2 linked regions of the Kluyveromyces lactis genome follow. The protein of the gene in region 1 interacts with the protein of each later gene in a biochemical or structural test. Links are inferred from orthologs where the notes say so. Each region holds a gene or a part of one and is shown on either strand. Other genes may lie near its edges.

The links.
Region 2: of the proteins of SST2 (region 1) and GPA1, one has a biochemical effect on the other in vitro, tested with the Saccharomyces cerevisiae proteins (2 studies listed by BioGRID, with this or other methods). The link is inferred for Kluyveromyces lactis from reciprocal best matches to the Saccharomyces cerevisiae genes SST2 and GPA1.

The regions. Positions count from the first base shown.
Region 1 is NC_006040.1:894,450-898,923, forward strand, and holds SST2 (GTPase-activating protein SST2), read left to right. Parts: upstream 1-1,561; coding exon 1,562-3,709; downstream 3,710-4,474. Other genes in the region: cyclin-dependent serine/threonine protein kinase SGV1, read left to right, coding at 1-443; GCD11 (translation initiation factor eIF2 subunit gamma), read right to left, coding at 3,847-4,474. UniProt on the Saccharomyces cerevisiae protein: Desensitization to alpha-factor pheromone. Is involved in regulating the signaling pathway for responding to mating pheromone.
Region 2 is NC_006042.1:2,404,884-2,408,514, reverse strand, and holds GPA1 (guanine nucleotide-binding protein subunit alpha), read right to left. Parts: upstream 1,919-3,631; coding exon 575-1,918; downstream 1-574. Other genes in the region: SRX1 (sulfiredoxin), read right to left, coding at 1-234; cytochrome c1 heme lyase CYT2, read left to right, coding at 2,684-3,499. UniProt on the Saccharomyces cerevisiae protein: Alpha subunit of the heterotrimeric guanine nucleotide-binding protein (G protein) that mediates mating pheromone signal transduction.

The sequences.
Region 1 (4,474 bases):
TACCACCGAATCCTCGTGATTCATATGCATCGAAATATCCGGCTGAATCAAGGTTCGGTGTGAATACAAGAATTACTACCGAGTCGTATAATGCCGGGAAACGTTACCGTAATAGAGGAGGATGGGAAACTGGTAGAGACAGTCTAAATTATAATAACAATTATGCTCCACCTGCTGATCGTTCGCATCATCCTACTATACAACGTCCTTCTGCTCCTAGAGGAGGATCCTATCCTAACAGATATCAAAATCAGGACTACAATACCTCTAGAAATACAGGGTATAATCAATACAGCCAAGCTGGTGATCGGAGAAGTTACAGACCGGGAGCTTCTGAAAATCCAGGGACCATTGGCCATGGTAGCTCACAATCTACGCAAAAAGATTCCAAGTCATCGCATTCCAACAATGTCAAACCAAAAGACGTTGCAGACTACTATTGATTAAATTTAAATTGGGCTTGAAACTATGCTGGTACTTTTCTACTTTTTAAACCCAACTTGACATGTTTTTTCCCCAAAGTGGCCTGCTGCTTCGAGATTGTTAAATAGTATATAGATAGTTTACGAGGGAAAGTGCGTTTGTTTCTCTTCATGTATCCCAGAAATTCATCCATTAAAGTGCTAACCAGATTATGATATGTGGTCTGTGAATGATATCATTACGTATAAAAGGGAAATTATGGCTGATGAAGATTTTTTGCTGGTATAAATTCATTGTTGATGTATCCAGATTTGGAAACCAAATCAAAATTACGCACGTCAATAATCACCAAGCAGCAACTTAAATATACTGATAAACAATTTAAACATGGTCATTAAGTTATGCACTTTCCAGCAGAATTGAACCCTGGGGTAATTTCTTTGTTGGCGGTGCATCACAGAAATTCCTCGAACGTTTCAACTGATGCTCGATGTGTTTGCTATAAACAATTCCAACAAGCAAATAGGTACCGATTTGCACAAATAATTAAAAGAAGGCAAACAGTGCCTCATTTTCACACTGTGTTTGAGTATCGATTAGAATGTCGGTATAATAATTCCACCGATCTTATCATAGCTTTATTGTTTCATTTTCCTATTTCTTGGACATTTTGAGGTTTGTACCGGAACTTTGCATGTTTCATGTCAATATTGCCCAAAAAACACGCTGGAAGGGAAAAAGGAAAATGATTTGATCACAAACAATTCAACATTGTTTCAAAAGATCCGTTACTGGGTGAACCAGGATATAACCACGCCGTGATAATCTGAAACAAGCCATTAAGATCATCAACATTTGCCTTTATATATAGAGCACCAGGAATGCTTTGAGCCGTTCGATACAAATGTTAGCAACCCTACTTCTCGAGAGGTGATACTTGCAGTTGGTATTTATGTGGATTGTACGTTACTGCAAAACCAAGAACTGACAACTTCGAATTTATTCAGACGTAAAGACTGTTGGCTTCGCTTCACGAATTAAAGGGGGGTTTAGCTGTATTTATACCAGGAGGTATATGCATGTTGTACTGTCGCGCTCTTTGTTATTTTTGATTTACTTCTTCTTATGAATAGATAATATGGTCTCGGAGTCAAATAAAAAGGAAAAAACGCTGCATGAATTGTTTTCTAATAGCTTCGACCGCTCACCCGATGGCTCAATATTAACTCATGAACTGAAAACAGTATTTTCTATTATGATAATATGTCTTCCGCTGGAGGAAAAACCAAGATCAAGTAGCAATCGACTCTTGAATTTCGCTAAGAAAAGTTTTCCGTTCACATTTTCAATTACGGAGGCTATTGATCTACTACAGGAGCTGGAGCTTAATGTGGAAATGAATTCCACTAGTATCTACATCAGTTATTCCATCAAACCAGAACTGGGATACCAGCTATTGAACACTTTTATGAAAGCTAAATTACTACATACACCTGCGGATAAGACAAGAAGTCGGCCAAAAGAGAACATTCTTTTGCAGCCGACTCCTAAAGGGGTGGCCGTAACGTGTGATTATGCCAGGAAGTTTGCATTGAAAGAGCTGCCTCCAATATTAACTTCAAACTTCAATACGATGAATCTTTTCAAGTTCGAGCGAAATACGTTAGATGATTCTGTCATTCAAAGCGAATACTTCATAAATCTATTGTTCAACAAGGTCATGGGTCCAAAACCTAATATATGGTCCCCAAAAAATCCAACAGATAAAATTCCTAAGCTCTCTGACTTATTGGATCAAAGAAGCTCAGATGTTTTCTCATTTGAAAATGTGTCACCAGACTTCGCCGTAAACGAGCTTGGTGAAAACCCTAAAAATAATGTTTCAGGAAATTCACAGTCTCAACATACTGAAAACAATCTACATTCGTTAAACTCTCGACAACTTGAAGATGAGGACAGAGAATCTCCGTTTGCATATAGATTTTTTTCAAATCCAGATTCTGACTCTCACATTCAATATTATGTGAGTGATTGTGGGCTTCGATTGTTCGGGAACAAAACTTTTGGAAAAGGAATGTTTATTGACTACTGTTTCACCACAAAAGCCCTTTGGCAATGGTTGATGGAATGTACTGATATAATGTACCCTAAAGAATGTGTTGCAGTTGCAGCACTCTTTCTGAAATACGGCCTAATTACACCAATCTTATTACCTCCCAGTCAAAACAGCAAGAAAAAGTTTCTAATTTCAAAAACAGCACACTATACATTGACCCAAGCCGGTTGGGACGTAATTCAATGGGGAGTAGATGGGCTACCCAAGATTCCGCATTTCATGGACGGGGTTAAAATCGGAACGGATACTGAGAATTATGGCGGCGTTAATTGCAGCGTAAAACTCTCCAGTCGTTCACTCCCAGGTAATTCTCAGCTCAAAAGCGGACATGATTTTGGAACCAAAAATGTAATGGTGTCGAACTATGATGTAAGCTCGGATTCAAGTTCGAGCTCAGGTACTGGGGACGATAATTATAATCCTGACGGTTTAAAGTTGCTGTCTCTCAAACAAATTCTGGCTGATCCTGGGATGCGATATCTTTTTAGAGAGCATCTTTGCAAAGACATGTGTGCAGAAAACCTAGACGTATACTTTGAAATAACGAAGTTTTTAAAAAGAATGTCGGTTCTGCGAAAACTCATTGAGTCTCGAAACCAGAGCGAACACAATAAGATGGATCTAAGGGAATGGAAAACTGGTGGTAGTACTAAACTGAAAGATACAATTCAATCAGCTCTTTTAAAACAAACTAGCGAATGCCTTTCGCTGGTTTACCATATTTACTCCTCTTATATTGCACTGGGGTCTCCGTATCAACTTAATATTGATCATAACGTTAGAGAAACAATTACTGGAATAATATTCCACCCTCAGTCTCCAACTAAAACTGCGTTCGACACTTCAGGCAAGGAAAATTGTTCAAGAGCCATTTCGGATGCATCTGTTAATAGACCCTTAAGCCTCGATCCTGCTGCCCGGAAGAAATGCGTGGAGCATAAAGTACAATCCCATAGTAACACGTCAATGCCATTGGCGCCGACACCTCTTAATAAGGGTACTGAGTCATACGTCATTATTCATGCTATATCAATGTTGAAGGATTTGTATCAGTTACTGGAAAAAATCAGAAATACCGTATTTATCATGATGAAGAACGACTCTTTGCCCAAATTCCTGGCAACAGAATCGTATAGGGACGCAATTTCATTAATAACTGCTAACAAGTAGAACCTAGGCATTTCATCATGAAGAATAAAGATATTCATCTTGCAAAAGAATGTGGCCTTTTCTACCAAGAAAATGGAACATTAATGTGACAATATATACATATAGACATATATAAAATCATTTAGTTAATTTACAGATTAAGCGATTGGTTCAAGAGTGGTACCCTTCTTGATAGTAGCCCAACCAATTAAACGCCAATGCTTTTCGATACGTCTAGATAATGCAATCTTTTCATTAACTTCTGTACATGCAGGGGAAGTTAATTGTAATCTTGCCATATCGGCTTTGACGGCAACCACACGGGCACCAGTAGCGGTGGAACCGATGTTCACCATTAAAACTTCATTTGGCTCTAACTTTCTAACCTTTGCTTGTTTTTGACCATCGGTCTTTACACCTAATAGACGACGCAATAGGAAGTAGTTAATTTCGATATCGGTGTAGATAGATGGCAAATGGCCCTTAGCACCAACGACTTGACCCACTAGACGATCTGCTCTACATAACGTTGGATCGACCTTAGTACCAACACCAATCAAACCACCTGGAACGGCGAATTTTAGGTCGTTGTGTTCAGCAAATAGGGAAACGATATTGGAGAAAATTGGCTTACATTGAATCTTACCATGATCATCTTTAGTGACGATACCTGGTCTAATTTCGATCTCATCGCCTAATTTGAAAACACCAGTCAAAATGGAACCACCGGCAACACCACCCTTCAAATCTTCGATTTCGGCACCTGGCTTGTTAACATCAAAGGAA
Region 2 (3,631 bases), on another chromosome or scaffold:
TTCCGGGTAACGGACGGCAGCGACGTCCACTGGAGGTAGACGCTGATCGGCGGGTAATGTGGCAACACGTTCTGCAGCTTGTGACTCGGTCATTGTTCGAGACGCCTTCGGTGTTCCCTTGAAAGTAGATATCATCGCATCGATCTTTGCATGGTCTAGGACCGGCTGAATGGGCCGTATGATCTGGCTCAATGGGATGTTCTTTTCCTTGCACAAACTCGTCTGCATAGACATTCTCTGTAATGGTATGTTGGGTGTGTATGTTTTTTTATGGCTCTTGATTAACGGTTATATCCTGCAAGTATCTATATATTGTCAGTACAGTAGAACTTCGTCAAGCAAGGGTACTTATGTGTCTTGTTGAAGTTCTTAAATAGTAGACTTGCTTGCTATCTTTCGTTACCCGGAAACACCCTGTTTTTTTGCCTTTTCACTTTTAACCTGGCCTTTGTGATGGGGTCTGACAAATATTTGAGGTTACCCTCTAAAAGATCTAGAACCTTATTCATCGCTTAACTATGTACAACTTATATGTAATGTGTGCGCGTTACCTGACATATTACACCTAAAGGATTTATAAGATGCCGCTCTTTTTTAGGTTTTGTTGAATTACTAAATCTGTCACGGCACCTAGAACGAATCTCATTGATTGTGTATCGGTTGCACAAGTTCGATGTACGTAGATGGGCTTGTTACTTCTGTTCAAGCTTAAGAATAATGATTCGAAATATTTCAGTCCAGTCTCGCTATCACCCAGTTTCCCTGGATAATTGGGGAACCATGTTCTGATTGGAGATCTCTTCACCTTTTCTTGGAAAATATCTACTTTGTTTAAGAATAGTATGAAAGGTGTGTTGGCAAACCATCTAGAATTCAATAGTGTATCTAATAATACTATCGATTCGTGCATACGGTTCACCCTTTCATCTTCGAATAACATTTGATCATATTCACTAATTGCTATTACAAATACCACAGCAGTAATACCTTCGAAACAATGGATCCATTTTCTTCTCTCGCTTCGTTGTCCCCCAGCATCGTAAACTTTGAACGTGCTTGGTCCAATCTTGAAACTGTTTTCGGTGATCCCAGTGGTCTTAATTCTTCCTTTCAAAATGTCCATGTCATCACAAACATAATCAACTCGAGCGAATTTTTCAATGTTATCAAAATAATACGATGCAGATCCTTCCAATTGAAATTCACTTGACCTATTGAAACATTGTCTGATCCCCTTGTCCTGCGTCCAAAGCTTTTTGATTGCATAGGCAATTTCTTCGTTGGTACTTTGGTCTATACGTTTCAACTCTGAAGTCTCCGAGGAACCAGTATAACTTGTCCCGGCTAATTTTTCACTCAAGAAAGCGTCTGTCTCATCCTCTTCTTCAGGATCAGCACCATTTGATTCCTTGAATCCAAGCGTGGTTTGCCTCTTCTTCTTAGATCCTATGCCATTATATTTCAACACATACTCGTTTAGGAACTCTGAACCACCCGCCATTCTGGCATCAATCTGGTCCAATGTGTTAGCACGGAAGATCTTCTCTTTGCATTGGTGTAATTCCGTATTCACCAATTGCCCCGAATGTGCATTTTTCAAATCACTATCCAATTCGATGCCCAACTTGCCTGCTTGTAAGATTAGCGTTCTCATCGACTCAATTGCATCTGCCCAGATGACTTGTCCATATTGCATTCGTTCTCTATGGGTAAATCCGCCTTGGTGTAGGAGTTTCATTTGTTTCAACACTGTTGATTTACCGCTTTCTCCTGCTCCTAATAGAAGGAGCTTCACCTCATTCTTATTCTTATTCCTTTCCTGCTGTAAATTTTGCTCAATGAGATCATTTGCCCTTTTATTTTGAATGAAGGGATCATCCTCGTTCTCATAGTTTCCTGTACTTGCGACGCAACCCATAATGCTTAATTTCTTGCCGGCCAGCGTCAGTTTCTTTCATTTGTTTCATTTTCCTTTATAGTTCACGTTTTCGCCGTAGTTGGCACGATGTGGCCAATCCGTCTATATATATGTTAATATTAAAAGGTAACGTAGCAATATTTACTTTACATTCCTGATTTAGCATTGCATAGCCTTTATCATAGGAACCTCAAAACATGATGAAGCTTTGAGTCAAGAACCTCAACTCAGATACCCTAGAAATCTCACAGAGACGACAACTAAAATCAAGCTCAATTGGAAAATAAAACAAGCAAGTAAAAAACAAACAAGCACTTGACACTGTTTAAGGGTTTGCTTCCTTTTAAAAAACATTCCTAGCAACGTCCCTGTTTCAGATTTAGGTTGAAGTCGCTCTGCAGGTAATTACTGCACCACAATATGTTAACGGTGGCTGCAAGATCGATTGCTATGTACAACGGAGAGCTGTCTCCATCTGGAGGTCAAGTCACGTGAGAAACAAGGATGTTTGTCGCACATTCGGGTAATGAAATGTCATCTCCCGTGGATATCAATTTCATTCTGAAACTTCATCAATTTGATATCAATTGAAAAGAAATGAATGAAATGGAAAAGTATGCAGAACATGCGAATACAGGAAAGCTTATTCATGCGCATTTCATCAGGATAGGCTTGAACGCAATAGTTCGAAATATAGAAGCAACATCGTTGGCGGCTTAAAGGGGATTCGCGACTGTTTAGAAGCTAACTGTGGAGTGCAAAAGAATGCCAGAACAGCCTAAGTGTCCTGTGGATGACTCCACGAAGGAAGTGTGGTTGAAACAACAGAGCACTAATAATAAGAATGAATCAGCAAAAGCACTACCTCCAAATCATCCACCGGCTAGTTCTGAAGGGTCAGGAGTTTGTCCGGTAGACCATTCTTCCCAGGATGTATGGCTGAAAAACCATCTACAGACCGTTAATGGCTCTGCTGGCGGTGCTGCAGTTGCAGCAGCACCAGCACCAATCATATCGATCATCACTGAGGATGTCGAATGTTCAAGTGATGAGATACCTGAACACCCGAAATATACCACAGCTGTTAATTTGCCAACAGAGAGAGAGAAATCCTCCATTCCTAGAACCGGAACATCGGATAATTGGGTTTATCCATCAGAGAAGCAATTCTTCGAGGCAATGAAGAGAAAAAATTGGGATCCCGAAGCTGTGGATATGAAAGCCGTTGTTCCCATCCACAATTCCGTTAATGAAAGAGTATGGAATTATATCAAAATTTGGGAAGACGGACAAGGGGGAGATGTCTGTGGTGGCATCAAATTGACTAGTTTCAAAGGCGATTCAAAGAAGTTAACCCCAAGAGCATGGTTTAGATCCTCAATCCTTGGAATGACCAAACCTTTTGATAGGCACGATTGGGTCGTCGATCGCTGCGGGAAACAAATAGATTATGTCATCGACTTCTATTCGAATCCAGAACCTGAAAAGAACCACCTTCCTCCAATATATTTGGACGTTAGACCAAAAGTGAATACTTTTGAAGGTTGTAAATTACGCGTTATGAAAATGCTAGGATTTTAAAGACAGAAGGGATCGTCCAAATTTTCAATCCTAAGGGAAGATAATGGACAAAAACACATCACGGTATTAGCAAATACATTTATATCTCTATATTTATCGGTTTGATCGAGATACACAAACCTAATCGTTTGG